7 linked regions of the Sus scrofa genome follow. The protein of the gene in region 5 interacts with the protein of the main gene of each other region in a pairwise test. Links are inferred from orthologs where the notes say so. Each region holds a gene or a part of one and is shown on either strand. Other genes may lie near its edges.

Region 1 (4,188 bases), on a different chromosome or scaffold from region 5:
AGAGGGGAACAATCGGCCACCCGACATGATGCTGGTGCAGTGGTGCTGGGCAGCGTGGGGACAGGGCAGGCCCCAGGACACTACATCTGGGAGCCAGGGTGGGAGCAGAAGCCCAGCTTTCCACCCTCCCAGAGACTCAGTGGGGGCTGGTGTGTGGTCACCCCGTGGCCCCCCGCTCACCAGCCAAGTGGCAACCCCCCCACTGCCTCCCAGGCATGTCAGGCAGCCCCATCCATGGCCAGGGGCGACCACACCTTGTTGCTGGCAGCAGGCAGGGCACCCACTGCACTCAGAAGTTGGGGAGCATATGAGAAACTCAGGGTCCACCAGAGACGGCAGGCTCGACGATCAGGGCTCAGCCCCTCGTGATGAGGCCACCGGGCCAAAAGAAGTGGACAGAAGGGGGTCACAACCAGCCACCAAGCCAGCTTCTCCTTGGCAGAAGCCACCCCCAAGGCGGAGGAGCGAAAGGAGTGTGCACCTGCCACGGGCTGTGGCTTCACTGCCTGATGGCGGGCACTGCACCCAGTGCGTGGCCCGTGTTACCTCCTGCAGGACCCACTCTGATGCACCTTACCCTGTCACAGCTGCCCAGGGTGGCCCACTGTGGGGACCTGCCAAGGGAATGGAGTCCTGGCCAGCGTGGCCTGACGTGGGGCAGCTGCCCGAGACGCCCCTGCCGTGCCCAGTCCCGAGTCCCCAGCGCCCCCTGGTGCTGATCCCCAGGATATCCTGCACCCCAATCCCCAAGGTAGCCTCTGCTCCGGAGACTCCAGCCTGTGACGGAACTTCAGGACCAGTTTTGCTCCCATGTGGGTCGAGGACTTGAACAAACAGCCCCTGGCTTGACTCTGCCTTTGTCCCACTTAAATGGCCTCAGAGGACCTGTCAGTGACGTTCTGACCACGAGACAGAAACCGCCCACTTGGATGGAAGGCAGGCTAGGGAGGACACCTTTGGGGGACGAGGAAAAAGTGACTGGGCACCTGCTGCGAGCGTCAAACCAGAAATCAGGTCCTGAGCACCCGGCCACCAGCCAGTGTTGGGATGGGCGCGTCTGCGCCCCAGCACTGGGCTGCGCCACACCCTGGGTGGGCGTCCCCTGGGCGGGGCTGAGGGAAGAGGCCCATTCTGTCCTCTCTGCTGGACCCACTGACTTGGCCTTGGGCTGTGTGGGGAGGAGAGCCCCATGTGGAGGTCGGAGGAAGGACTCAGACCTCCATCAAAAGCGGAGGTGGCTGCTGTGGGCCTTGGAGGACACGTCCCCTGCGGGAGCACAGGTCCTGAGCCGGAACACATGGCAACTCAGGCCCCGGCGCTGAGGCCGAGCACCACACTGGCGCTGTGTCTTCCCCACGTCTGCCCCTCGGCCATCCTCTGTTTCGTCCTGTGGTGAGTAGCCATAACATCGCTAAGCCTGGAACCCAGCATGTCCCTGTTCTTGGGACAGCGCCCTGGGCACTGGGACAGCACAGGGCGGCTCAGGAGCCAAGCTGCTGACCGCAAGGAGAGAAGGTGAGCCCAGGAAAGGCAGGGAGAGACCAAGGTGGCCCGGGAGGGACGGTGCGAGAGGCAGGCCGGGAGCCTGTGTGGCCACCCCCCTCTTACCTTGTCCCACAAAGACTGCAGCTCTTCCTGCCCCCCTAGGTCCCAGAACATGAGGCGAGCCTTGCCCACGTCCACTGTGCCGACTGGGCGAGAAGAAAACAGGAGAGGCTGTGGCCTTGGTCCCTGACACCCCACCTCCCAGCCCTCCTGGGGAGGGGCTCTCTGGTGCTCTGCCTGCCTGCAGGCCTGTGGCCATCACAGCACCCTCAGGGGTCTGCCCGCCAAGCCCGCAGCCCTCAAGAAACCCCCTTACTGTTTAGACCCACGGTGGTGGTGATTTTGGACAGACTCATCCCCTTGTAGTTCTTGTTGAAGCGGGTTTTTGACTGCTCCAAGAAGGTCTGCGGGGAGAGGGAGAGAGAGGCAGGAGAGAGGAGCTGGAATGGTTTTCCGGCCTGTTTCTCAAGTTTCCCTCCTTGGGCCTATTCCTTTAAGACAAAGCAAAACAGCACACCGTTTTGCTATCAAGGCAGCCGGTGCCAGCCGTCCCCCGGTCTTAGAGGGGGCTGGGATCTTTGGACAACACGCAGCTAAATGCGTGATACCAAAAGTACCACGTTCGGGGCGGGGGGCGCGGGGCGCTGACGGCACGTACCGTTTTCCCGGCATTGTCCAGACCCAGGATCAGGATGCAGTACTCGTCCTTTTGAAACATGTACTTATACAGGCCGGACAGCAGCGTGTACATCCTGCGCGGAGACCAGCGATCGGTCACCGGCGATCCGACCCGCACCCCGCCTCCCCGAGCGGCAGAAGGGTCTGTCGGCCTGCTGTCCGCTCAGACCTGGAGCCCCGGGCCCTGCCGACCCGCCTCCTCTCTGCCCGGCACTGCCGCCGGCGCCTCCGCAGCTGCTCCCGACCCGGCCGGCGCTGCCGGCACCCTCGCTCCCACGTCCGGCCTCCCTCCGGGCTTCGCTCCGCCCAGGTCTCCTCGACGGCCCTGGGCCAAGACGGCCGCAGGCGCCCCTCAGAGGAGGGCGCGTGGGGGCGGGCGGCGGCCCCGAGTGGCCGTGCGGCTCCGCCCGCCCGCCCCGGCCTACCTGCGCCCGCCCGCCCGCTCGCCCGGGCCGCGAAGCCGGGGAGACGCCGGAGTGGGGGAGCCGCCAGGGCACCGGAGCTGCGGCGCCTGACCCTCCGACCCCGCGCCGACCCCGCGGTGACCCCGCGCGACGCCCGACGGGACGCGGGCCGGCCACTCGGGGAGGGGCGGAACCGTCCCGGCGGCCCCCGCGCCAAGCACTTCCGGCGGTGGCGGCGCGAGGGCGGAAGTGCCTGTCGGCTGCGAGGGCGGAAGCGGGGCGCGGGGCCGCTGGGGCCGCCGAGGCCGCCGGGCCGTCTGTGGCGGCGGCCGGGAGACCGTGCGGAGGAGGGCCCGGCCGGAGCGAGAGGGTCTGGGGCGTGGCGAGGTGACGGGCTGAGCCGGGGCGGGGGTGCGCGGGGCGTGGGCCGGGGCACCCGGCTGAGGCGCGGAGACCTCGGAAGAGCCTACGGCAGCGCCCCGGGGCGCCTGAGAAGGGAGCTGCGGCTGTGGGGCCAAGGCCGAGAGCCGGCTCTGGCTCGCCGGATCGGAGCTGGAAACCTCTCTTGGCCCAGACGGGAGGGGGGCAGCTCACGGTTCCGCGGGCTGTCCGCCCAGGGCCAGCCTCGCAGCGGTGGCCCGTCCCAGGCTCATTTGGCTTCTCTTCCCCGCAGCTGTGGCCCCCACGCCTCCCCTGGGAGGACCCAGAACACCCACCCCAACCCCGCGGCCTGGCCGAACAACCAGCCCCTCCTGGCAGGATGGACGAGGAGAGCCTGCAGGCCGCCCTCCGGACTTATGACGCGCAGTTGCGGCAGGTGGAACTGGCCCTGGGCGCCGGCCTGGATCCCTCGGAGCTGGCGGACCTGCGCCAGCTGCAGGGGGACCTGAAGGAGCTGATCGAGCTCACAGAGGCCAGCCTGGTGTCCGTCAGGAAGAGCAAGCTGCTGGCCACGCTGGACGGAGAGCACCCAGCCCCGGAAGATGCGGAGTACGTGGCTTTCCAGAAGGCCATCGCCGAGGTGGTGGAGGTGCCAGCAGCGCCCCGGGCCGAATTGGAGACTGTTCCTAAGGACGAGGCAGGGCCAGACCCCTCGGAGCCTGGAGAGGAGGAAGAGGGGGAGGACGAGGAAGACGCGGCCGAGCTGAGTGGGAGGAAGGTGAACGCCCCCTACTACAGCCCGTGGGGCACCCTGGAGTATCACAACGCCATGATCGTGGGCACAGAGCAGGCGGAGGACGGCGCCCCGGGCGTGAGAGTGCTCTATCTGTATCCCACTCACAAGTCCCTGAAGCCCTGCCCCTTCTTCCTGGAGGGGAAGTGCCGTTTCCAGGAGAACTGCAGGTAAAGCCTTGCCTCCCCCTGCGGCCTCTGGGGTTGCGGCCTCTGGGGTGGGGGGCTTGCGCTCAGGGTTGGGGTTGGCCCGCTGTGTTTTGGAGTTTTGTCCTTCGTCGCCCAGCAGGGTGCTGAGAAGAAGAGCTCTTTGGGGGCCAGGGGGTTCTTGCAGCAGATGCTCTCCTCCAGCTGTTTGCTCGGATTTTCGGGGTACATCAGGAGGTGC
Region 2 (4,069 bases), on a different chromosome or scaffold from region 5:
TGTAAATGTCATTTTGTGTTAACTCAAAAGACCTTTTAAAAGACATACTCAGAAGACTTTAGGAGATCTTAAAACAATCATAGTGGTATTTTCACATCAAATATGTTTACATTAATAAATCAGATTAAAGACTGATTATTTACCCCCTAATTTCTGTTTAGATTTTTTATACTGATTGTATGTACAAACTACATTGCACTCTGGACTTTTTTTCTTGTGGAAAAAATTTGAAGTTATAGACAAAGCAAAAAAAAAATCATAAACTCTCATGACCTCATCACTCAGCATGGATATTTATGACATTTTTGTCATTAAAAGAAGATACCTTTGAAGTTCTTTTTGGGAGTCACTGAGTTTCCAGTGTGTGTTTGTGGAGTGAAATTATAGAAGTGGAATCTTCTCACTGTGTCAATCTGTGTTTCTGAAGTACAATGCCTCTTCTGATGAGAGTTGAAATGCAATAACAACAAACTCTGATATAATCTATCTTCTCAAGAGTGTTGATCACATACTATTGGCTGTTTACTTAATCTCACCATGTCCACCAGAAAAAATGAATATCCAGTATAATCAAATGGCATAAATAACCACTAATTATTACTCTTGGGTATTTCATCCACAATGATTTCATTTATGAGATGGTATATTTTTTTTACTATTTTGGAGAGGTTTGCCCCTGCCAATAATTATACAGACTATCGTCCAGTGGAATGAGAAAAAATATGCATAATTCCTATCTTATAATGCCAGTGAAGCAATACAATTTCCCCTGTAGGAAAACACTCAGCAACTCCTTTTTATTTTATTTTTTTATAAGAGAGTGGGCTTATTTCTAAACTATTTTAAAGAGTGGTTAAATGTTAACCGGGGTGCTAGCTCTCTCAGGGAAAGAAATAGGAAGATGAAACAGGGGAACATTCCTAGAAATGAGTGTGTGACCTATGTGGTCTTTACAGTAAATTATACTAATTCTACATTTATGTTTATGTGTTGTGGCCCTATTAAGCTGATATAACTTTTCCATTAAGTGGGCAGGTGGATTTCCTGTAGTACCTTCAAGTGCCTGAAGAGGTATATTGTTTTCTTGTGTTTCCATTACAACATAGAGACTAAGAGGGAATCCTCTGTGGTATTTTTTTACATAGGTTGTGAATCTTGTTATCTGTAGGCTGTATTTGTATCCGAAAGGTGAATATTAATAGCCTCTTGGCAGCAGAGTGACTTTCTTAAAAAAGGGGTTTCCCTGTGTATGGGTGGATTAACCTTTCAAAATATATGTTTCTACTTAAACCACTTAGTTACTGTTTGATTCAAAGGTTGTCATAAAGACAACCTCTCCACATCTTTATTAGACCTTGTAGTACGCTTACCTAGATCTGAGCGGAACTTTCAGTATAGAGCATGGTGAGTAACGGATGCCTTGTGCCTCTACTTTCGTTTCGCTTACTTGCTAGAGTTTGCTATAACGTATTTCTTTTTAAAATGCCTGAAGTTTTTGTATTAAGACGGCATGTGTGATTTTTGAGTTCGCTAATATTAGCAAGTAAGATCTGGGTGCATGTATTCCAGGTGGGAAATGAGATAGAATTTATAAAATGTAATAATGTGTGATGTTCTCCTGTAAAATTTTTATAGCTTTCATGAGTTATCCCCTTTGTCCATGTCAGATAAAGTAAGCTTTTAAAATGACACATTTAACCATATGGTGTTATCGTATACACTTAACTATTCCTAACAATCCTGTAAATACTAACTAAATTTAAGTACTCACAAGAATAATCTTACTGTGTTTGTCCTCTTAGGCTATATTTCAGGGTTCAACAATCTTAATTAAGCAATGATCAGTGCAAGGTGCCAGGCAGAGTGTGTCACAGTAGTGGAGAGCCTTGCTTGTATTCTTCACGGTATTATGTAATCCTGTTGATGGGAAGCATAAAAGTTCTAAAATGATGTATTTCTAAATATGAAGTCACTGGGTTGTTTTACTTAAATAGTCAAATTTTCCAAAAGAGATTGGAAAAAAAACTTCCCTAGGTAAAATTTAGTTGTAAGCCATCAGATTGACATCCAAGGAAGCTTCATTTTAAAATCCAGCAGTGGACAAAGACAGACCAGATAACTATGAGCACAGTGATGATTTATTTTAATTAATTTAGCAACATTAAATTTCTGGCTTAGCCACAAAAAACTTTCTGCTGTGACATTCTAAGAGACTTCATTCTTCTTGGGAATCTCGGGCAATGCCTTGTTAAAGAAACTCTGAAAGAACTTTTTTAAATGGCAAAGCATCCAAGGACCTGCTCCCATAGCCAGCCCACACAGGAGCTTAACGTTATGGGTGACAAATAAGTATATGCAGGATGGGTCAGTCTTAACACAGACTATTTTTAGAAATGCTTTCCTAAAATTTTTGAGGCTATTTTTAAAAAATCAGATTTGTAATATATTTTTAGAGCCCAGAAAATAAAAGGGAAAAATTTCTCTAATTTTCTCCTTTGCTTTTCACTCTCTGTCTCTCAGCTTGCTTTTCTCTCTCTCTACCAAGTCTACACTAGTACATCATAGGCTTCCAGGATAATTTTTCCATTGAAATTTGAAACCACTGTACAATTTCCCAATATTAATGAGATAAATGAGGCATGAATTTGTAAGAAATAATAATTCTTAAACATGGGAAATTTAGTATTAAACTCAATTCCTCCTGCTAAAGGAACCTGAAACAAAGGCATCAGAGGGAACTGTGGAACAACAGAAGAGACAGGCACTGTTCTACATGCCTCATCAATCAAGGTCCCTGACTCCTTGACCATCTTTTTCCACTGAGTTTAAGCATCTTCACCTAGATTGTGAGGGGGGAGGGGAAGGAGACTGAAGATGCTTAGTAAGTTCTTTGTCAACTGAATACTTCCTGCCGAGGATAAAACCTTAGGCCTCATTTTAACTGCTAACTTTTTAAAAAATTGCTCTTTAATGTTTTATTCTTAAGCACTTTAGCTATCAATTTCTAAGCTTTGCTTCCTCATTAAGATTAGATAATGCAGAACTCTCAGAGGAAAACCTTTTAGTCACGGTTGTTCTCCTATCTGTTTGGTGTTGTGACAGTTTAAATCTTTCAAATATTGTTTTCGTGAAGGAAGAAGGACTTGAAAGAAATGGACTTTACACACACATGCCCCCAAGACTTTAAGAAAGAGGCGGGAACTTTTAAAAATGTCTTTCTACTGAAACTGCACAGAACATGAGTAAAAAATTAATTTTATTTGAAAACACGGTGAAGATTAAATATCTCCAGGGTTTTTAAATAAACACAGTATATGGAGGAAAATTATCCTAGTGGCTGCAAAGCACAGTCCCATCAAATGGATCTCTTGATGGACCTAAGAATGTAAAAAGTCTTGGAAGACAGAGAGAGTCACAGTGGGGCAGTTAGTACACAGTTAATAGAATATTAAAATAATCAAAGCTAATTATTCTATGTTTTTGCTAATCTGATACAAAAATTATGCAAGAAGAAATATATTAAGTAGCATAATTAATAAATATATTTGAAAGTAAATTACCCCTTTTATAGTTTTAAGTTACATCTTAAATTATAAAGATGGCAAAATGTTTCCTTTTGCTGTAAATAAATATTGATCAGTAGAACAGGTTATGTCCTGATGCCTCTGAGATAGTTTGTATGCTCACAGGTATATCAGTACATTCTTCAATGGGTTGCTCTATTCACTTCTTTTTCTTCAATATTAAAGAATACATTACCATTTTTCACAAGCTCTTTACCAGGAGAAGTTGTTCAAAATTGTTCTGGGAAGACAGCTTACATTATTTTAACTACAAAAGGGAAAGCAGTGGTAGATATTAAAAATAAAAGAAAAATTGTTCAGCCTAAACATGAAAATATGCTTCCCTTTTGAATTTTTCTTATAGAGAGGAACATAAAATACTGGAACACTATCAAAACAATCAAATTTGATTTACAATTGAAAAAAGTGAGTAGGAAGGTTTTCAACTTTAAAGTGTATCATAAAGACAAATTTAATCCTACCTAAATATGTGTCAAAAAGATAAA
Region 3 (4,256 bases), on a different chromosome or scaffold from region 5:
CCATCCATTCCTCCCCTTCAGAACCCATGGTTTCGGATTCCTGTACCCCCCTTACCCAGGCTCAAAGGTCCCCTCCTCTGGATCCTGATAACTCACACTTTGTCTCACGACATGTATCACGCTAGGATCTAAGAAGCCCCTAGCATGTCTGCCTTCTCCTGTGAGCCCTCAGCAGAGATCCTGTCTAATTGCTGGTCACTCTGTATCTCCCACACCTGCCCTAAGTGAATAAATGGGGTGAATAGATCTGTTAGCCAAAATGGTCAGTGCTTTCCTGAGCTGGAAAAGGCCACTCACTTGACTCCCTGCACCAAAGACTCCCCACGGCCCCTGAGCCACTGACCTTGTTCTTACGACCATCGATCTCAAAGAAGGAGATGGTGCCCTTTCGGTAAATCTCGTTGCCTGGAGGATGTCGCAGGTCACACTTGGTCTGAGAAGGAGAGGAGAATCAGGGGCAGGGCCAGGGCAGGGCAGGGGTGCTAGGAAGGCGGCCTCCTGGGACCCTTCCTACCAAGTGACGCTGCAGACACTTGAGGCTTCGGCCGTACTTGAGGCAGAACTCGCAGAGGTAGAGGACGGGCAGGGTGGTGAGCTCCTGCGGGTACGGGGAGAAGTACCACGGCTTGAGGCGGTGCCGGCCCAGCTCGATGCACTCAATGTTCTTCATCCGGGTGACGATGTCGTCGTGGCTGCGGTCAGACACCAGGCTCCCAGTCATGCGAGGAGCCGAGGGTATTCCGTCTGAGCTGTCCTGGGAGTCCTGCCCGGGGCCACGGAAAGACGCCAGGTTACAGGAGACAACTCAAGCAGGACACTCTCTGGCTCACAGCCCTCCCACGGGTTTCCTAGTGGGGAAGATACCATAACCCCTACTTTCCAGTTAAAGAAACCAAGACTTGGACAATTTTCATTGGAAACTGGAAAAGATGACCCAATGCTTGATCTGAACCAGTTCTGCCTCACTCCTAATCCCAACACCACCTCAACCCAGCACACTCTGTTCATCTTCCAACGAGTCACTGAACTCTCTGCCCTGCCTACGTCCACTCCTTTTTTTTTTTTTTTTTCCTAGCTACAACATGCAGTGGCTTGATGTGGGAATCTCAGTTTTCAAACCAGGAATTGAACCCAGGGGCACAGCAGTGAGCGCACACTGATTTCCAATTGCTACCCACCTAGGGAACCCCCTGTCCCCTACTTTTCACCCCGCTTCCCTCTTCCCCAGACCCACCTCGTCAGTGCCCAAGCAATTTGATTTTCGCTTCCGCCCTGGCTGAGCTGCCACTGCCCTACGGGCTGATCCATTCTGAAGGTGAGATGAAAGAAAAAGGAGTAGCTGTGAGATGCACCTGAAAGGGGCTACCAGAAGGTAGAAGGGGAGGGAAAAAGAGATGGTTTGGGGGACTCACCTGGGGAAAAACTGAGGCCGGGGCTGTCTCGCTGGGCACCGGAGTTGCTGGTGAAACCACCTCCACCTTCCGTTTCTGCAGAAGAGAAACCAAGAAAGGTGGGTCAGAAGGTAGGGAAGGTGGGACCTGAGAGGAAAGCAAGGTCCCTGGAATTGCTGAGGGTACCGTTGAGCGGTGGTTGGGCTGCAGGCAGGAGCTGGAGGAGAGCGGCTGGTCGGGCTCGCCACCGGGAATGGCCTCCCGCTCCTTGGGCAGGTTGAAGCGGAGTGTGATCTGGACCGGGATTGGCAAGGTCTTCCCGCTGGCCTGGGCGGAGGCCGGCTGTAGAGATAGGTCCAGGGTCTTCCTCTGGGGTGGGGATGGTGGTGGGATGGGGAAGGGGAGTAGGGGCCCCTCAGTGTGTAATGATCAAACCCCGCCCCTCTCAAGGACGCTGGACTCTGGAAGCTACATCTGCAATTTGGCCCCCATCCTTTGCGAGCTGAAGCCAGGGTGGGAGGGCACAGCCTCCTGCCCAGCTGGGAGCCACTGAGGCCAAGAGATGAGAGAAGTAGGAGGCAGGAGAGAAAAGTTGAAGCAGGGGACCTACTCACCACCTCTCTCTCTGGAGAGCCGGGGCGGGACCCAGGAAGTCCGTTCTTGGTGGGGGTCTTGGCCTCTTTCTTGGGGAACTGGATCTTCTTTAGGTCCAGCCGCTCATGAGTCACCCATTCATCCAGGCGTTTGTTGACTGCAGCAGTGGGGATGGCTCAGGAAGGAGTGCCAGAGGCTGCCCCCCGCAACCCTAGCCCCACCTCATCCCGGCCCAGAACTCACAGTCAATATAATGGACGTAAAAAAGCTTCCGGCCACTGATGTCCTTCACGCTCAGGATCTCGGCCAGGGCTGTGGGCACAGCACAGGGAACGGCCTTAGAGCGGCCAGGCCATGAGGCTCCGCCCTTCTACAACCTGAACTCCACCTCCAGGCCCGATCCCTGAGCCTCAGCACTTGGAAGCTCTCGCCCAAGCCCCCATTAGTCACCAAGTGTCATTCCCTTCTCCAAGCCCCGCCCTGTCCATCTCCAGCGGCTAAAAGCCACGCCCCTCGTGAATATCTGCGCCCCGCCCGCCCCAAGATTCTAGAGGCCCCTCCCCCTCCCTGGGGTTCGCTTGACTCCCCCCGCCCCTCGCCCTCAGGTTCCTTAGCCCCGCCCCCCGACGTCACTCACGCCACTCATCTTCGTTGTCCTGGTTCCGCCGCAGCACGGGCAGGCGGCAGCCCTCGATTATCTCCCCCTGGGGAGACAGCGCGGCGCCAGGGTCGGCTACTGGGGGGCCTCGGGCTCTACCCACCTCCCCTGGCTCCCTCCGCCCCGCCCCGGGCACCGGACTCACCACCTCCGCCATCTTCCCTCCCTCCACTGCCACTTCCGGCCCCTCTGGGAGACGTCACTTCCGGGACCGAGCACTTTGTAGGCCCAGGTCTCTCCAAACCGGCTTCAGGAGAGGACCCTGGAGAGACCCCGCAACCCAGCTTGCTCATGGAGCCGGCCCGTTTGGCTGGCGGGGGAATAGGGTACTGTAAGTCTCAAACCAGGTCTTCGGTGGAATCCCCACAACGTGCACAACGATTGGAGGAAAACTGAGTCCGTCACGTGACGCTCACCGGGTGCGACGCCGGTCACGTGGGACTGGTGTTTGCTTCGCCGGCGGCCGGGTTTGGGCGTCTCCTAGTGGCCGCAGGATGCGTCTCGGGGAGTGAACTGCGCGTGCCCGGCTGGGGGTTGGGGCGGGTCTTGAGGGTTTGAGGGGCTGGAGAAGTGGGTGGGACTTGAGGGACTTAAAACCCTCGCCAAGTTTGTGGCCCTAACTCCTTGGGGTTGGGAACTCACGGAAGGTTTGTAGGTTTGTTGTTTTGTATAGTAGGTTGCTAATTACAGGAGTAATACATCATTCATGCATACATTCAACAAATGTGTAGTAAATCACCTGCCACGTACCAGGCACTGTTCTAGGAGCCTGGAATACCTCAGTAAATAAAGAATTCCTTTTTTTTTTTTTTTTTTTTTTTTTTTGTCATTTTGCCATTTCCAGGGCCGCTTCTACGGCATATGGAGGTTCCCAGGCTAGGGGTCGATTCAGAGCTGTAGCCGCCGGCCTACACCAGAGCCACAGCAATTTGGGATCCGAGCCGCGTCTGCGACCTACACCACAGCTCAAGGCAACACTGGGTCCTTAAACCACTGAGCCAGGCCACGGATCGACCCTGCAACCTCATGGTTCCTGGTCAGATTCGTTAACCGCTGAGCCATGATGGGGACTCCCAAGGATTCCCTCCTTTTGTAGCTTACCTTCTTGGAGGTTGGGAGGGAAAAGAGGGGCATAGGTAACACCTGGTTAATAGCGTTAAAAAATAAATTATCTAGTCTATTAAATAATGATAAGTGTTTTGAGAAAGCCCCCTCAAAGAAGAAAAAAAGCACCAGGTGAAGGAAAGGGCCAGATAGGCAAAATGGCCAAATCCAACCCTCTGCTAGCTTTCCTACAGCAAATGTACTAAGAATGGGTTGGTTTGTTTGTTTGTTTGCTTTTTAAGGCCGCTCCCAGGTTTCTGAGGTTTCTCAAATTTGTATCTTCAGCCCAGATCTCCCTCGACTTTCTCTGCCTACTCGACACCCCCATTTGGATGTACCAGGGGCATGTCCTGAACTGAACTCCAGATCTGCCTTTCTGGTTTCTCCTCCCACCTTCTTTCTTCTCCCTCACTGATGAGCTGGTCCATTCAGTTTCTCAGACCAAAAACCTTGAAGTCAAGAAGACCTCTGCTCTTCTCCCATTCAGCCCGTCAGCATTTCTCTCACCC
Region 4 (4,096 bases), on a different chromosome or scaffold from region 5:
CCTCACGGTCAGTGAAATTTAATCCACAGGCCTTCCCAATGCTCAGACCCTTCTACAACAAAAACGTGCTACTCCCATCTACCCCTGGAGCAGCAGACTTCAGGGTGGGATCTGCTGCAAGGATTGTCCTAAAGGCATCTATTCCCAGAGCTCCCAACTCCCTTCATACCATTCCTGAAGCTGCCTGCAAACCTGCCTGGAGTTGGGACCCAACCATCCTTCTCCCCACTTTGCAAAAGAAAGAGAACCCCCCTCCATCTCAGTAGGGTGCATAGCCCCAAGGGGGGTGGGTAGGGATGGGATTAAAACCTCCAGAGCAGCACGGAACAAAGGCCTAAACTGGAAAGACTGGTCCACAATTCTTATCTGAAACTCCTGGGGCCAGACATGTTTTTGGAATCCAAATTTCTTTTTTTGGATTTTACAAGCGTAGTTCTACATATAGCCCACACTTGCCCTAACACACCCCTGTTGTGGTCAGGGGAACCAAGCCATGATCAAACACATTAATACTTCTACAGCAAGAGCCTGAATTTTTCATATTAAAGGGTATAAAGATATAAGGTAGCAGCACTGATCAGGCCCTCCTTGGAGTCTAGTTTTGCCACTGAATGATTCCAAATTTGTCTTCAGGGCTTTCTGAATTTCGGAATTATGAATGAGAGATTGTGGAATGTTAGTACATTACAGGAAGCTTCCCTGAATGATTATTCTGGGTGCCTTAAACCCACAAGGTATGTTTTCGACTTTGTCTGGTCCATGCTTCTGTGAAGGGTGCAGCTCACCCAAAGGGCTGTGCTCTTAATTCAAGAACAGACACGACAATATAGATTAGTGACGACAATTATTTTGAATATCCCCGGAATGTTTTGGGGACTACCAGAATTTTCCCGGACATGCAGATTTTTTTTTTTTTAAGTTTAAAAAGGCTTCTTACAGTTCAAGGCATATTCTTAATGACTGTGCTTTAGAAGCCATTTTATCAAATCATTTCACAAGCCCTTATTCCAAATGTAGTCAGTCCTCATTCATTTTCACCTTTTAAAAATGTTTACTATTTCCGACCTCCCGTTAGAAAAATCAAATACTTACTCATGATGAAATACTCTATAGATGTCACACTACAAATGGCCAAGAGCTTTACGAAATTGTTACGTGTGCATTTCCCCCGCTCCCTTAAGCGGGCCTAATGGAGATTCGGCCTGTGCCCACGCTTCCTTTTCCCTCTGATGCTTCTCCCTTTCAAACCCTCAACTTGCATTTGAAACCCCGCTCAAGCGGTCCCAACTCACACCAGCTGCTGGCTCCGCACTGACCACAGGTGGACCCGCCTACCCTCAGAGGTCCCCCTCACACCTGTGGAACCCATCCTCCCCGCAGCTCTCCTCACCCAGAGGAGCCCGCCTTCCCCAACATACTGAGAGAGTCACCCCTCTTTCCCTGCGCACGGGGGGATCCAGCTCTCCCATTAGGGAAGCCCCTGCACCTCTTCCTGGAAGAGTCCTCTCTGCTGCAAGCCCTTCCCCCATCACGCTGCGAGGAGATACCCTCCCCCTGAAGAGTCCCCTGTCCCCCAACTCTGAAAAGGAGGTCCGTCCCCTTCCCTTCCCTCCCCTTCCGGCGTCTCGCGTGGACACCAAGCGGGTAACGGTCACCGGCAGCCAATTTTCCCGCGCGCGGGCGCGGCCTCCCCGACAAGTCCCCGCGCGTGCGCGCGCCGTCCTGTCGCGAACTGCGGCGCGCGCCCCCCTCCCGCGTCCCCACTTAGCCCCGTGCCCGCCGCGTTCCGAGGCACGCGCCCCCTCCCCTCAGCCCCGCCCAGCCCCGCGCGCCAGGCCCGCGCGCCCCGAGCCCCAGCCTTTCGGCGCCGAGCTTCCGGCTCCCGGCCCCGTGGCCTCGGACGCCGGGGCCCCGAGCCCGCGACGCCACCCCTCCAGCCCACCCGGCCCGGCCAGCGGGCCCGCGTCGCTGCCGCCACTGCTTCACCTTTTAAATTTTCCGCCATCTTTCCCCACGGCTAACGACATTCGGGCCTAACCGGCCTCGCGAGAAGAGAGCTCGCGCGGGCGTGGCCGAGAACGCGCAGCCTATTGGCCGCGCCGCGCCGCGAGCAGCGCCAGCGCGGACCAACCGGCGAGCCGTGACCGGACCCCTCCCCGCCACCCGGCTCGGTCCCGAAGGCGGGTGCTCGCCGGCGCTTTCCCAGAGTGCGTCTGGGCGGCGGCGGCGGCGACGGCTGTGGCTGCCGAGGTTGCCGGAGGCCCTGCCCGTACGCCGGTCTGTCTGTCACGCTATCAGCCAATCACGTTGTCAGCCAGCCGCACGGGGGGATTCTCCGTCTTGTCAGACCCCCAATTACGGCCGTCAGTCAGTCCGTCACCACATTTTTAACCCCAAGCAGGCCATGACTCCCCAGGTGGACTACCGCCACACACAGCTGCTCAGGCAGTCACCCGACTCAAATCAGACAATGGGTCATTCACCACGACCACCGCCTCATCAGACCCCTGCCCCCCATTCACGCTGTTAGTCTGTCAATAGCAGCATCCACTCGTGCCCTGGGGCCAGCTGCGAGACCCTCAAGGCAGACATACGGCGCTGACAGCAGCTACGCTGCACGCCCGCCGGCCTGTCATTCTCTTAGCCTGTCCTTTTGTCACACCGTCAGTCGGTCCAGCAGCCAGGCTCTTCATCTACCCTGGCCCTGGGAGCAGCTCCAAACCCCGAAGGAGGGGGGTGGCGGGGGGATCATTTCACCACCGACGGGGCCCTCGGGCTGCCTCTGATTATACCATGACAGGCTGTCATTGTCAGCATCTAATGTAGCCCTGTCGTGGTGCAGTCACTCTCTCCACTGTCAGTTGGTCACTCTGTAATTCCCTCGGGTTCCTCCCCATTCACACCACGGATCAGGCAATTATTTCCTCGTAGTCAGAGCAGCTAAAGCCTCCAGGCCACCCGTCAGTGGTCAGCAGTCTGTCACCTCTCAGGCGATGCATGCCCCCCATTGGTCGGTCAGTCAACATCCTCCCACCCCTGGGCCCTCTCAAGGCGGCCGTGATTCTATCCGACGACAGGCATGGGATCGGGCAGCTACGCTGATCTTTCAGTGGGCCAGCTGGCCTGTGACTCATTCAGTCTGCCCCTCATATCAGCCAGCCAGGTAGCCATTCTCAGCATCCGACTGGCCACATGATATGTCAGGCATGGTGTGATCTGGCCAGTGTGGACAGTCAGTCGCCAGATATGGCTTGCCTATCAGTTGGCAACAGATCGTCCATCAGTCAGCCTGAAATTCCCTTGGGGTAGATTTCCTTTACACATCGCCAGACAGCGTGACATCCAGACACTCCCTCGGGCCGGGTGTGATTCCTAGGAATAGTCAGCCATTCACAGTATCCCACCACCTAGGCAAGCAGCAACAACACGGGTCATCAATCAGCCAGCCTGTAAGTCCCCCAGGAGCCTGCCTGCCTTCTGCATTATCAGGTCACCAGCTCCAGCCAGTCCCAGGTGGGCTGTAATTCAGTTAGATTTTCAGTAGCTCACGGTGTCAGGAAACCGCACTGTCATTTCCTCAAATTGCCCCTCTCCCTGTCGGTCCATGAGTTATGTAGTCAACCAAATGGTTATACAGTTAACCAAACGGTTGTTCTGTGCCTGCCAGCCCAGCTGTGACCTGGTTGGAGAAATGGTTGATCAGGCTGAGCTTCCAGTAGCCCCTGCTTGCTGTGAAACAGCTAACAGTGGAGTCTCACCGTGGAGTCCCCCTCTCTCCCTTATTCTTTCTAGAACAGAGTCAGATGCTGACCTTCACATGCCCCCAGTCTCCCCAGGCACACGGGACCTTCCCACTCCCAGGAGTCAAGGAGGCCTGTCGAACCCACAAAAGTGGTTTAAGTCATGACCTTTTTCTTTCTTTCTTTCTTTCTTTCTTTTTTTTTTTTTTTTTGTCTTTTCTAGGGCCTCTCCTACAGCATATGGAGGTTCCCAGGCTAGGGGTCTAATCAGAGATGTAGACGCCAGCCTACGCCAGAGCTACAGCAACGCGGGATCTGAGCCACGTCTGCAACCTACACCACAGCTTAGGGCAATG
Region 5 (4,297 bases):
GCTCCCTCCTTCCGAGGGCCAGTGTCTGGGGTCTCGGTCGGCTCAGGATTAGGCGGCGGCGGCGGCAGGTCACCCTCTACCCCTACCCGGGCCCCGGGGCCAGCGGCAGCTGGTCATTGTTCGAGCACAAAGGGCCAGGCGCCGAGGCGGCCGCCCTTCCCCCTTCTCTTGTCTCGTCGATGCCTCTTCCCCCAGACACACTCTCCAGCTTCGGAGTCCAGAGGGGGCGGCGGAGGGTCAGTTGCCCCCGATTCGGGGCCCTGCGCCCCAGCACAAGTCGGGGGCCAAGGCTTGGTGGGTGTCTGCCCCACCCGCAGCCGGTTGGAGGAGGCACGCTTGGATTTGTGGAGGTGGCGCCACCTGGCGGCCCATTCGGAGAACACACTCGGTCACCGCCAACCTTGGGGGACCTTACCCTAGAAAGCCTAGGCCTTTCCCCAGCGCGGCTCAGTGCTCCCCAGCCTTCCCTCAGAGTCATTTCCTAAGAGAGAGGCCACTGATCCGAGAGAAGCAGCCCCTGGGCCCAACAGTCACTGAGGTGAGCCCATCCAAGCCTACAGGCCAAACCTACACAGCCGCGTAGCACACAACATCCCACTGTCTTCTCAGGGTCACGGATATTCTCAGCTCGGCAAACAAAACAGTCTTAACACCCACACGACCTTTCCCACAGTCTCACACAGCCACAATCATACAGTCTTTTTCATCACGAGGTTCCATGTCTCTTCTTCCCATAATCTTTCAGGCCAACACACAGAGACATTCGTTTCACATGCCTAGTTGTACACAGGCTTTCACAGCTCGAAGTCCTTCGCACCCAGTCACAATCTTAAATACACTTAGTCTCCTAAGCATTTTTCACACACTGACAGTCTTATTCACAGTCAAAAAACGTCTTCTTACATGTACACAACGTATTTCACAAACATTTTATCACACAGACTTTCCCGTAGGGTCTCTGTGACCCAGTCAGGTCAGCTGATGCCCACACGGCTGTACAAGGACAGCCTCCAGGCCCCTAACTCCGCCCCATCCAGGGCCAAGGCCTGCCACAGCTCCTCTACCCCAGGAAGGAGCATCTCCCCCCCTTCCAGGCCACAGCCCTGGCAGGCTCTCAGCTCTATTTTTAGCTCTATGGAAAGGATTGTTTTTCTTTCTTTTTCCCTGGAAAGGGAAACAGCTCAGCCACCCGCAGGCTCACCCTAGACCCTCTGCTCACAAGAACAGACTGAGTCCCACTCCGGTAGAGACCCCCCCCCCCTCTTCTGGCCTTGCCCTGATCCCAGCCTCCTGGGGCACTAGGAGCCGCCTCCCCTTTCTGGCAGCCAGCCCAGAAGCTCAGGCAGCAGCTGGGCTCAGCGTGCGTGTAGGGGTGGGGGGTGGGGTGAGGAAGGAGGCCGAGGGCCGATGCCCACTTTCATGCCCTGGGGGGAGGGGGCTGTCTTCCCTTCTACGGGAGGGAGACAGGCCCTCTCTGGTGTTGAGATGTGCACGCTCCTGCATTCTCTGGGGAAGGGGGACTCCCACTCTTGCATGCGTGGGCTTTCTGTTCCTACATTGCAAGGAGGAGCTCCTAGCTCTGCAGGGAGGGGTGGTAGTAGGAAGGGCACCCACAGGCGCTGCCGTAGCTGCTCCCTTGGCTGCTATACGCTGCCATCCAGAATATCGCCCCCACGCCCCCAATATCTTCAGGGATGGGGCACCATGTTGGGGAGAAGGAAGGGCGAAGAGCCCAGGTAACCCCAGGCCAGACCAACAGCCTCCTGTTCTCCTTCGCTAACCCGACTCCAGGGGGCGTTGTGTTCTCCTTCCGGGGGAGGTGGAGAATGGACTACAGCCCGGCCAGGTACCTTGCAAGCCCGTCCTGCACCGGGGCGGGCGGTTCCCGCCCTGAGGCCCGGGTGGGGGGAGCACAGCCCACAGGTCTGCGCTACGATCACGTGCTCGGCTCCTGTTTACGTCTTAGTCTTCACCTGCGGGCTGCCGGAAAGCAGGAACCTCTGGAGTTGTCCCACCCGGCCCGCCCCCGTCGGCGGTCCCTGGGTCTTTCCTCCCACCCCTGTCAAGTACGCGGCAGCAGCGCGCCTTGCCCGCTGGGGGTCCCGCGGGCCAGTGGCGTTGTTCCAGGGACGGCAGGCACAGCTCACTGGGCGCGTCCTCTTTAGGGTGCACGTGTGTTCGTCTGTCTCAGGTGCGCGCGTGGGTCTGTGTGTACGCGTGTTTGGACCCGTGAGTGTGAGGTTCCGTGTAGGTTCCCTGTTCACACTCTTCGCTTGTGCCTCCTGCACTGGGGACTCCCCTCCTCACTCCAACCCCCAACCTTCCAAGACCGGTAAAGTTCGCTCCGGCGCGGGGCTGTGCAGGAGCTAGAGTTCCGACACCTCCGCGGCCCCACCACGCACTCACCTAGGGCCACCTGCGCCGCCGCTCCAGCTCCCCTCCCGGCTCCTGCTCCAGCGCCAGCACCTCCTCGCCGCAGATCGGCCGGCTCCCAAGCCCGCTCCGGGCTGCGGACTCCCAGCGCCCGTCCGGCCGGGCCTGGAGGAGCGGGGCGGGGCGGCTGAGGCCGCGCCCCCGACCCCGACAGGGGAGTGGTCTGCGCAGCACCCCCTCAACAACCGACCCAGTGCCCAGCCCAGATGTGGCTCGATGGTGGCCCAGGACTGCTCCTCTGGCCTCTGACTTCACACCTTACAGCATTTGTCTTTCAGCTCGGGGAAGGGGCCAGTGGCACGTGACAGCTAAGCTGGCTGGCTGTCCTAACCAAGTCGGCTGTAGGGCTTTACAGCCACCTTCCTCAGCGCTTTAGGGAGCCCATCCTGGTCCATGCTCAGCCCAGTCCCCAGATGGGGAAAACCCCTGGGAAGCAGACAAAGAAGGCTCGGGTTTCACCAAAACAGACCCCGCCTTCCTCACACACACACACCTCGGCGTTGGGGCTGCCCTTGAGGACCAGCACCTCCCCCTCCCCGAGTAGGTGTCGGCCCAGGTGAGCCGGCCTGCCGGTTTGGGCCCCCACAGAGTATGGCCACGCTTCTCCTAGACTCGTAAAAGTTCCACCCACAGGCACAAACAGGAAGTTGACCTGTACTGCAGGGAGGAACCAAGGGCTCCCTCCCTCCATGGCACCCAAAGTGGCCTTTGTGAGGGCAGACTGTGCTGTCTACAGGTATCTGGGCTGTATTTGCAGCCTGAGCCCTGGGTAGCCGGAGTCTTGTGAGTTTAGTCCCTTCTCAAATGCAAGATGGAGAACCAAAGCTGCCCCCACACAGCTAAGTGTGACAATGAGTCTGAAGACAGCAGACAGCGCTGCAGATCCAGGGACCCTGTTCTGTCAGGCTCTTCCTCAGCTCTCAGGAAGGTTCTAAATGTCCAACTGGGCACATGGAATGCTGGTTCTAGCCCAGGTGATTTGCCTCAATCCACTTTGGCTGAGTACAGGGACAGGGAGTCCCAGGGACCTTACCCAGGAACTAGGGATTACCTGCCACTTTCTAGGCTGCAGTTACTCCGGAACATACTTCTGGCTAATTCTGATGCTAGGAGCTTAAGACAGGTGTGGAATGGAATGTGCTTGTGTACGGGGTGGGGCTGGGGGAGAATTAGCTTCCCCTCCCCCGAGCTGGTTTGTGCAGTGTGGTGGTGTCTGCTAGGAGGGTGGGGCAAGCCGGGCAAGTGTGTATCTATTCCTCTATAGCCAGTTCACACAGACACCTCGCAAAAGTTCCCTAATGGAAACTCCTAAAGTATTTCCTGAGAACACACCAGGCATTCTAGGGAGACCAGACCAACACCTTTCTAGGTAGCATTGATCTGGTGGGGTGCATCTGGAAGGCATGGCTGATGTTCAGTGTTGTAGCCCCTGGATGAGGCCTAGACCAGCCAGCGGCTGGGAATGATTACTGTGGGATTAGGAGAGCTGGCTCCAGCCAGTCTGGGAGAGACCCCCAAGAAGGGAGGCCCTGGAGGATCTCCCCCCTCCCCCCCAGGGAATGGCTTTGCTCCAGGGTCTGTTTCAGAAGACAACTGCAGTCACAGTTCTCACACACCACAGACCAGAGACCCCAGACCATCCATCCCACAGGGGTCCAGAGCCTCCTCTCAGGTTACAGGGAGACCTTGATAAGGCAGCCCTGCTTCCAGGGAGCAGGAAACCTCCCCCAACCCCCTCTACAAAAGGTTTCTCCCCAGCCCCTTTAAAACAGCTTGCATTCTCACCACTTCTGCAGGCAAATCTAAAAGGAAACGGGCACTTCGGGATATCAGAGGAAATGAAATGGAAAAGTGTCATTATTTA
Region 6 (3,603 bases), on a different chromosome or scaffold from region 5:
ACTTGCTCAAGATCCCCCAGCTAGTAGGTGGCAGACCAGGCCCTTGAAGTCATGCCTGTCACATTCCTAAGTCTAAGAACACAACTCTAAATAACACGTCTGCCCTGTTGCCCCCCCTCCGGGTGGGAGGCTTTCTTGCGCAAGTGGACGTACAGGCGTGGCGTCGAGGTACTCCGGTGGATGGGGCCAGGGAGGCTGGCAGCAGAGAGCCCCGGGAGGATGTGGCAGGGGAGGGCATGTGAGCTGGTTTAGGGCTGGTGACAGCAGGAGGCATGTTGAAGAAATGTGATAAGCCTGCCCACCCGGGGGGATAGAGAGATGACCCGCCAGGAGGTCCCTTCATGGCTTAGCAGTTAATGAACCTGACTGGGATCCATGAGGATGTGGGTTCGATCCCTGGCCTCGCTCAGTGGGTTAAGGATCTGGCATTGCCGTGAGCTGTGATAAAGGTCACAGACACAGCTTGGATCCCGAGTTGCTGTGGCTGTGGTGTAGGCCGGCAGCAGTAGCTCCGATTAGACCCCTAGCCTGGGAACCTCCATATGCTGCAGGTGCGGCCCTAAAAAGAAAAAAAATGACTCACTAGGTTTCTAGCCTTCCTCGAAGTGTTCTGTGGACACTGGGTGGTTGTGACTTTACTGTGGGAGGGGAGTCAATAGCGTGGGAAATGCTAGTTGACCCAAATTAAGCGGGTTTCTCTATTGCGGGCTTTCTCATAGCCTTTAGTGCCGGTGGGCGCCATGGATCTTTACAAGGACAAGGGACTACGCACCGTGGCTGGGAAGAGCTGCGTTGACTGGGGGAGGTGGGTTGTTCCTTGAAGGCCAGAGCTATGTCTTATTCATCTGTGCCTCTGCCTTGTAAAAGGCCTTCAGGAAATGTGCTGTTTGAATGAATGACTGAAAGCCAGTTCAGAGGGAAAGGTGGGGGATAAATCCTAGAAATCCTTTGTGTTCAGAACAGGTGGTGCTGGAGTTTCCTGGTGGCTCAGTGGGTTAAGGATCTGCCATTGTCCCTGCTGTGCCGTTGTCACCCTGTGGGTATGGGCTTGATTCTGGGCTGGGGAACTTCCTTGTGCCTAGAATGAGGCCAAAACAAAACAGATGAGGAGTTCTTGTCATGGCTCAGTGGTTAACGAACCCGACCAGTGTCCATGAAGACCCAGGTTCAATCTCTGGCCTTGCTCAGTGGGTTAAGGATCTGGCGTTGCCGTGAGCTGTGGTGTAGATCGCAGATGAGGCTCAGATCCCAAGTTGCTGTGGCTGTGGTGCAGGCCAGCAGCTATAGCTCCGATTCAACCCCTAGCCTGGGAACCTCCATATGCCGCGAGTGCCACCCTAAAAAGACAAAAGGTAGAAAAAAGGGGGGGGTCCTTTAGGTGGTAAGAGACGTGGAATGTAAACAGGTGAGAAGTCAGCTGGGAGGTGGATTTAGGAATTTCTTATGCAGACTGATCCTCATGGTCAAGAATGCGACTGATTCTTTTTTTTTTTTGGTCTTTTTAGGGCCGCACCCGCAGCATATGGAGGTTCCCAGGCTTGGGATCGAATCAGAGCTGTAGCTGCCAGCCTACGCCACAGCCGCAGATCGAGCCATGTCTGCAGCGTACACTGCAGCTCACGGCAACACTGGATCCTTAACCCACTGAGCGAGGCCAGGGATCGAACCGGCAACCTCAGGGTTCCCAGTCGGATTTGTTTCTACTGTGCTACGACGGGAACTCCTGTTCGGTGTCTTATTTCTGACCATTACATAAACCCAGGCATGTGAAGAAATGGCTAGATCTATACACACAGACACATGTGGAAGTACTGGTGGATCTGAATAAGGCCGGCGATGGCTCCAGTGTCAGTTTGTGAGGTTGTACTGCAGCACAGTACGTCTTAGGGTGAAAGATGCTGCCATTGGGGGAAATGAGGGGAGGGATACAGGGGACCTCCCCATACATTGTTTTGGGGTTTTTTTTTTGTCCTTTTTTGCCATTTCTTGGGCCGCCCCTGCGGCATATGGAGGTTCCCAGGCTAGGGGTCAAATCAGAGCTGTAGCCATTGGCCTACACCAGAGCCACAGCAACGCAGGGTCCGAGCCGCGTCTGCGACCTACACCACAGCTCACAGCAACACCGGATCCCGGATCGTTAACCCACTGAGCAAGGGCAGAGATGGAACCTGCAACCTCATGGTTCCTAGTCGGATTCGTTAACCACTGAGCCACGACAGCAACTCTCTCATACATTGTTTTTTGCAACTTCTTGTGAATCTGTAATTATTTCAGAGTTTTTGTTTGTTTGTTTTTAATGACAAATTAGGGGAAGTGCTCATGCAAAGGGCTGAGATGGAGAATGAGAGGAGACCTTTGGATGGGGCGGCAAAGGCCTCCGTGGACGGGTGATCACCCAGAGGTGACCCTGAAGCCGGGAGTGAAGGGATGAGGGGCCAGAGGAGGAGCATTTAGCCGTGCCCCCCTTCCCTGAAGGAAACCCCACCCGGAGAAGCCTCCTGGCCAGAATGTTAGACGGTCTCTGGACAGAACAGTGCTTGGAGGGAACGTGCAGCTTTTCTTCCTGGTTCCAACCCCCCTCCCTTCCCACCAGTCCCCTTGATTGATTATTTTCCCTCTTCCTCTGCCGCCAGCCTGGACAAACTGCTCGATGCCGGTCTTTATACTGGAGAAGTGACTGAAATCGTAGGAGGCCCAGGTAGCGGCAAAACCCAGGTACACGCGTGGCTGGCAGCCGGGAGGGTTGGAGGAGGGGGTGCCTAGCCCTGGATCCCTGGGGCCGCTTCTGCCGTGTGCTCGTGGTTCAGAGCTGGGAAGGGAGAAGACGGGTGGTGAGGGGTGGGCTTCGAACTTGGCCCATTGGTGTCTCTGGGATCTGGGCACAATTTGGTGTTTGGAAGCTCCCTTTCTGGGCATTCCTTGAGGGTTCAAGTTCACCTGGTGCCCCGTCTCTACTCAGGTGTGTCTCTGTGTGGCTGCGAACGTGGCCCACAGCCTGCAGCAGAAGGTCCTGTACATCGATTCCAACGGCGGGCTCACAGCCTCCCGCATCCTCCAGCTGCTTCAGGCCAGAACCTCAGATGAGGAGGAGCAGGTAAAGGGCAGGGGGGTGGGGATCCTTTGCGGCTCTGATACTGTAAAACCCCGTTATCGAACATGGCAAGAATGGTGGCCATTTGGGTAAAGAGTCGTCTCTGTCTTCGAAACGGGGTGTTCTACTGACACTTGCTGTTTGCTGCAGGCCTCCCCATTATGACATCAGCCCAGCTCAGATGCCACCTGCTCTGATCCAGGAAACCCAACCCCAACCTCATGCAGGGCTGCCACACACCCCACCTCTGTTTCTACCTCATTTTTTTGCCCGTGGTAGACACACTCATCAGTCCTGTCACTCCTTCCGTGGAGCTCTGACTTGGCTTTACAGCTCGGCACCCCTTGGTTGGGAACTGGCCCATCAGAGAAAGCCCATTTGCCATCATGGACCTGAGTCCTTGCATCTAAGTGCCTCTTCCTGCTCAGCCTCAAAATCCCTCTTCATCTTGCCCGACCCCCTGCTCTTCTCCAAAGCCTTCTTTCTCTTTCCCACCCCTTCAGGCGGGAGCT
Region 7 (4,331 bases), on a different chromosome or scaffold from region 5:
GCCCCTCTCCTTCACAGCCAACTGGTTTACTGCTAGCAAAGATTAAATGACTTGATTGCAAGCAAAGAGTGGGCACGTTTAAATAAGCGCTACGGAAGTGTTAACAAGCTGGCACTGTAAAGTACAACGGGGGTCGCACCCCCTCCTCCGACAATGAGCTCGTCCAGCCACGCTCTTCCCTTTCTTCACCTTGCACGAGGGAGGAAAAACCTAGCTGCAGACCGTGGGGACGATCCGACACCCCCTCCTTGCCCACAGTGGGCTCACCCAAGCCCCGCCTCCATTCACCAAAGGGACCTGGGAAAAACCACGCGCGGTAACCCTGGGGATTTCCGCCTAGCAACACACCACCCCCCGGCTGGAATGGATTCGACCAACGTGTCTCTTTCCGTTAACAAGAGGGACCGGGGACAAGAGTCAAGGGAAACGTGGAGTGGTTCGTCCTGCACCGCACCAGCTCCTTCAAGCACACAGTTGTGGCCCCTCTTAACGGAGCCCAAGTAAGGAAACAAGTGGACGGGAGCGGAAGGAGACAACAAACGTTTAAAAGTCTCCCGAGTCTGGGACGTGGCGCTGTGTAGCCAGCGCCTCCCCCGCCCGCCTCCCACCGCTGGCCGTGGCGCCGCAGCAAGAGTCCCGAGGCCTGTGCCCCTCGCCGTACCAAGGCTCCCGAGCGTACTCCTCCATGGCGCCGGCGTCCGGCCGCGCAGTCTGGCTAAATCCCGGCCGGGCCACACCCCCACTGTAAACGCACACAGGCGCCCGAGCTTTCCACCTATTCCAAGGTAATGATTGGGTCCTTTCGCCAGACGTCAGGCCAAGGCGCACTCTCATTGGCCAGTTAGGTTTCCGTCATCTGTTCTCTGCAGCCCGAGCGTCGCCCAGTTACCTCTGGCTCAGGGAGAGAGGGCCTCATTCTTTCCCTCAGGAGAAAAAGAGTCGTGGTCCTGGCGATCATAAAGGCGTCGAGAGAGAGGCCGACAGTCTGACAGCCTTCCGCAACCCGCGTGACTGTATTGGTAATGTCGGGGTGGGCGCATTTTTTGGAGCTAGAGGAAACCCTGCTCCCCCCACCCCTGCTCCTTGGTTCCTTCCACCCGGCAGTCTTTGGGGGACGTTGGGTGAGCCCATTTCTGGGGCGCGGGGGAGCGGCGCTTGGCCCCTTCGGCGATGGGTGGAGCCTAGGCCTGGGAGAGGAGGCCTGGGAGAGGAGTCCTGTCCCGGAGCACCCCGCCTGGAGAGGAGAGTTGGCGAGAATTTCGGTGATACTGCCGTTTATCCCTTCCACCTTTTAGCGGGTAGGTTCTGTTGCCCAGCTCCTGGTGCAGGTGGGTAGGTGGGAGTCTAGATGAGTGCATGTTGGGGAGAGGCGCTTGCTTACGAGCTCCAGATTCAAATCCTTATCTGAACTGCTTTCTCGTCTGTCCTTCCCTAGGTCTGTCTGCTACCCGCTATGCCGCTGCCCGTTGCGTTGCAGACCCGCTTGGCCAAGAGAGGCATCCTCAAACATCTCGAGCCCGGTGAGAGAGCTAAGAGCAGATGGGCCTACCATGTGCCAGGCTTGACAGGCACTTTGTTGTTGATATTGCCACTCGATCCCTAGTATGGGCCTACTATATACCAAGCAGTGGGCTGGCAGACATTTTGTTGTAAACAATACGTATTCCTGACGCCGATTCCTACCGCGTGCGCGCGGACGCCTACGGTGGGGGTGGGGCAGGGAATAGACATTTCAGCTTTAGTCGTACCTAATACTGACAGCTGATGCTTATCTTGGATCTTCATACGCCAGATTTAATCCAATCGATCCCTGGAAGAGTATCTAAGGATATTAATAGTAAACTGACATCTATTACAGCCTCTTTTGGACCAAATACAGTGGGAGGAGGCTGATATTTTGTTCTTTACCATACTAGTAGGTAACATTTTTTTCAGATCTACTGTAGAGCCAGGTACTGTTCAGGCGATATATACCGACTTGTTCACCAGTTCAATAACTGACATGTATTTCGGGTCTGCTTAAGTGGCTGGCATATGCATTATGGTTTACAGTATGTAAAATAATGGTAGGGGAGTTCCTGTCGTGGCGCAGTGGTTAACGAGTCCGACTAGGAACCATGAGGTTGCGGGTTCGATCCCTGGCCTTGCTCAGTGGATTAAGGATCCAGCGTTGCCGTGAGCTGTGGTGTAGGTCGCAGACGCGGCTCGGATCTGGCGTTGCTGTGGCTCTGGCGTAGGCTGGCAGCTCAGCTCCGATTGGACCCTTAGCCTGGGAACTTCCATATGCCGCGGGAGCGGCCCAAGAAAAGGCAAAAAAACAAAAAACAAAACAAGGATAATGATAGGATCTGTCATTTTGGCCTGCTGTGCTGCCGTTGCCAGTATTTATACCTTACTGTCATTACAGTAAAAGTTGGCATCTATTTTGGGCTAAGGTGTGGCCGTGTACTGGAAAACTCATTTTCACTTTATTGACAGGTGACATCTATTACAGGTTTGTTGTGTGCCAAGCATAGATCTTTGGTTAATAATACGGATAATGGTCATTGATATTTATTTTAAGCTTACTGAATACCGGGCCTTGTGCCCGTGGTACGTTTCTTACTAACAACACTAATGATTATAGCTGATGATCTATTTTGGACCTATTGTGTGACAGGCACTATGTTATTGCTGAAATAGACATTTCATTGTTAGCTGTATACACAGTTGAAACCTGTGATCGGCCAACTGAGGTCCAGGTACTCATGTACCTTTTTTAAAATGTTTGGTCTTTTTATGGCCACACCCACGGCATATGAAAGTTCCCGGGCTAGGGGTCGAATCAGATCTGTAGCCGCTGGCCTATGCCACAGCCACAGCAATGCCAGATCCGAGCTGCATCTGTGACTTACACCACAGCTCACAGCAGTGCCAGATTCTTAACCCACTGAGCAGGGCCAGGGATCAAACCTTCGTCCTCGTGGATGCTAGTCGGGTTCGTTATTGCTGAGCCACAATGGGAACCCCCACTCATACACCTTTTTTATTCTGTTGATAGTAACTGAAAACAGTTGCAGGTCTCAGGAGCTGAATATATTCAGAGCAGTGTTTGGATAAATGCCTTGCTCTCCAAACTTGCTACTCAATATACTAGAATCAGAAACTCCCTATTTGCCAAGCTGGAGAACTGAATGAATTTGGACGTTTTTAGATAAAACCTTTGCTGTTCAAACTAATTTTGTCCAAATAGGTTTGGATAGCGGGGAGTTTCCGTCATGGCTCAGTAGTTAACAAACCTAGTTAGTATCTATGAGGACGCGGGTTCAACCCCTGGCCTCACTCAGTGGGTTAAGGATCTGGCATTGCCATGAGCTTCAGTGTAGGTCTCAGGTGGGGCTTGGATCCTGTGTCGCTGTGGCTGTGGCCTGGAGTGGCAACTACAGCTCCAATTTGACCCCTAGCCTGGGAACCTCCACATGCCACAGGTGTGGCCTTAAAAAGACAAAACGATACATAAAAATAGATTTGGGGAGTTCCCGTCATGGCGCAGTGGTTAACGAATCCGACTAGGAACCATGAGGTTGCGGGTTCCGTCCCTGCCCTTGCTCAGTGGGTTAACGATCCGGCGTTGCCGTGAGCTGTGGTGTAGGTTGCAGACGCGGCTCGGATCCCGCGTTGCTGTGGCTCTGGCGTAGGCCGGTGGCTAGCTATGGCTCTGATTGGACCCCTAGCCTGGGAACCTCCATATGCCGCGGGAGCGGCCCAAGAAATAGCAAAAAGACCAAAAAAAAAAAAAAAAAAAAAAAAGATTTGGATAGCAGGGTGTCACATACTGTCTGAACACAGGAACTAAACAAACATGGATACACGTTTTTTATTTAATTTTTATTTTTTTTAGGGCCACACCTGAAGCATATGGGGGTTCCCAGGCTAGGGGTCTAATCAGAGCTACAGCTGCCAGCCTACACCACAGCCACAGCAACGCCAGATCCAAGTGGCATCTGGGACCTACACCACACACAGCTCAGGGCAATGCCAGCTCCTTAACCACTGAGCGAGGCCAGGGATCGAACCTGCAACCTCATGGTTCCTAGTTGGATTCATTTCCTTGCGCCACAACAGGAACTCCGGATACACTTTTTTGTTTTTTTTGCTTTTTAGGGCCGTACCCGCGGCGTGTGGAGGTTCCCAGGCTAGGGGTCGAATCAGAGCTACAGCTGCCGGCCTACGCCACAGCCACAGCAACGCCAGATCCGAGGCATGTCTGTGACCTACACCACAGCTCACGGCAACACTGGATCCTTCACCCACTGCGCGAGGCCTGGGATCGAACCTGCAACCTCAGGGTC

The links.
Region 1: the proteins of LZTS2 (region 5) and ZGPAT interact in binary tests that used the Homo sapiens proteins (3 or more experiments, as listed by UniProt). The two-hybrid records come from large-scale screens. The link is inferred for Sus scrofa from reciprocal best matches to the Homo sapiens genes LZTS2 and ZGPAT.
Region 2: the proteins of LZTS2 (region 5) and TNIP3 interact in binary tests that used the Homo sapiens proteins (3 or more experiments, as listed by UniProt). The two-hybrid records come from large-scale screens. The link is inferred for Sus scrofa from reciprocal best matches to the Homo sapiens genes LZTS2 and TNIP3.
Region 3: the proteins of LZTS2 (region 5) and KAT5 interact in binary tests that used the Homo sapiens proteins (3 or more experiments, as listed by UniProt). The two-hybrid records come from large-scale screens. The link is inferred for Sus scrofa from reciprocal best matches to the Homo sapiens genes LZTS2 and KAT5.
Region 4: the proteins of LZTS2 (region 5) and SUV39H1 interact in binary tests that used the Homo sapiens proteins (3 or more experiments, as listed by UniProt). The two-hybrid records come from large-scale screens. The link is inferred for Sus scrofa from reciprocal best matches to the Homo sapiens genes LZTS2 and SUV39H1.
Region 6: the proteins of LZTS2 (region 5) and RAD51D interact in binary tests that used the Homo sapiens proteins (3 or more experiments, as listed by UniProt). The two-hybrid records come from large-scale screens. The link is inferred for Sus scrofa from reciprocal best matches to the Homo sapiens genes LZTS2 and RAD51D.
Region 7: the proteins of LZTS2 (region 5) and PQBP1 interact in binary tests that used the Homo sapiens proteins (3 or more experiments, as listed by UniProt). The two-hybrid records come from large-scale screens. The link is inferred for Sus scrofa from reciprocal best matches to the Homo sapiens genes LZTS2 and PQBP1.

What each region holds. Positions count from the first base shown.
Region 1 is NC_010459.5:62,639,692-62,643,879, forward strand, and holds the start of ZGPAT (zinc finger CCCH-type with G patch domain-containing protein), read left to right. Parts: upstream 1-1,296; 5' UTR 1,297-1,392; intron 1,393-1,608; coding exon of another isoform or gene 1,609-1,691; intron 1,692-1,861; coding exon of another isoform or gene 1,862-1,949; exon of another isoform or gene 1,950-2,036; intron 2,037-2,203; coding exon of another isoform or gene 2,204-2,296; exon of another isoform or gene 2,297-2,335; intron 2,336-2,392; exon of another isoform or gene 2,393-2,614; intron 2,615-2,648; exon of another isoform or gene 2,649-2,794; intron 2,795-2,875; exon of another isoform or gene 2,876-3,014; intron 3,015-3,300; 5' UTR 3,301-3,387; coding exon 3,388-3,971; intron 3,972-4,188. Other genes in the region: ARFRP1 (ADP-ribosylation factor-related protein 1), read right to left, coding at 1,609-1,691, 1,862-1,949, 2,204-2,296. UniProt on the Homo sapiens protein: Transcription repressor that specifically binds the 5'-GGAG[GA]A[GA]A-3' consensus sequence. Represses transcription by recruiting the chromatin multiprotein complex NuRD to target promoters.
Region 2 is NC_010450.4:102,891,193-102,895,261, forward strand, and holds the start of TNIP3 (TNFAIP3-interacting protein 3), read left to right. Parts: upstream 1-1,234; 5' UTR 1,235-1,401; coding exon 1,402-1,404; intron 1,405-4,069. UniProt on the Homo sapiens protein: Binds to zinc finger protein TNFAIP3 and inhibits NF-kappa-B activation induced by tumor necrosis factor, Toll-like receptor 4 (TLR4), interleukin-1 and 12-O-tetradecanoylphorbol-13-acetate.
Region 3 is NC_010444.4:6,569,405-6,573,660, forward strand, and holds the start of KAT5 (histone acetyltransferase KAT5), read right to left. Parts: upstream 2,816-4,256; 5' UTR 2,801-2,815; coding exon 2,623-2,800; intron 2,298-2,622; coding exon 2,229-2,297; intron 2,143-2,228; coding exon 2,006-2,142; intron 1,734-2,005; coding exon 1,578-1,733; intron 1,488-1,577; coding exon 1,413-1,487; intron 1,310-1,412; coding exon 1,235-1,309; intron 764-1,234; coding exon 515-763; intron 434-514; coding exon 344-433; intron 1-343. UniProt on the Homo sapiens protein: Catalytic subunit of the NuA4 histone acetyltransferase complex, a multiprotein complex involved in transcriptional activation of select genes principally by acetylation of nucleosomal histones H2A and H4.
Region 4 is NC_010461.5:42,796,044-42,800,139, reverse strand, and holds the start of SUV39H1 (histone-lysine N-methyltransferase SUV39H1), read right to left. Parts: upstream 2,832-4,096; 5' UTR 2,006-2,831; coding exon 1,987-2,005; intron 1,588-1,986; exon of another isoform or gene 1,097-1,587; coding exon of another isoform or gene 1,093-1,096; intron 1-1,092. UniProt on the Homo sapiens protein: Histone methyltransferase that specifically trimethylates 'Lys-9' of histone H3 using monomethylated H3 'Lys-9' as substrate. Also weakly methylates histone H1 (in vitro).
Region 5 is NC_010456.5:112,076,760-112,081,056, reverse strand, and holds the start of LZTS2 (leucine zipper putative tumor suppressor 2), read right to left. Parts: upstream 2,847-4,297; 5' UTR 2,407-2,846; intron 1,230-2,406; exon of another isoform or gene 87-1,229; intron 1-86. UniProt on the Homo sapiens protein: Negative regulator of katanin-mediated microtubule severing and release from the centrosome. Required for central spindle formation and the completion of cytokinesis.
Region 6 is NC_010454.4:40,057,125-40,060,727, forward strand, and holds part of RAD51D (DNA repair protein RAD51 homolog 4), read left to right. Parts: intron 1-2,633; coding exon 2,634-2,715; intron 2,716-2,959; coding exon 2,960-3,094; intron 3,095-3,594; coding exon 3,595-3,603. UniProt on the Homo sapiens protein: Involved in the homologous recombination repair (HRR) pathway of double-stranded DNA breaks arising during DNA replication or induced by DNA-damaging agents. Bind to single-stranded DNA (ssDNA) and has DNA-dependent ATPase activity.
Region 7 is NC_010461.5:42,975,212-42,979,542, forward strand, and holds the start of PQBP1 (polyglutamine-binding protein 1), read left to right. Parts: upstream 1-1,434; 5' UTR 1,435-1,453; coding exon 1,454-1,520; intron 1,521-4,331. Other genes in the region: TIMM17B (mitochondrial import inner membrane translocase subunit Tim17-B), read right to left, coding at 662-834. UniProt on the Homo sapiens protein: Intrinsically disordered protein that acts as a scaffold, and which is involved in different processes, such as pre-mRNA splicing, transcription regulation, innate immunity and neuron development.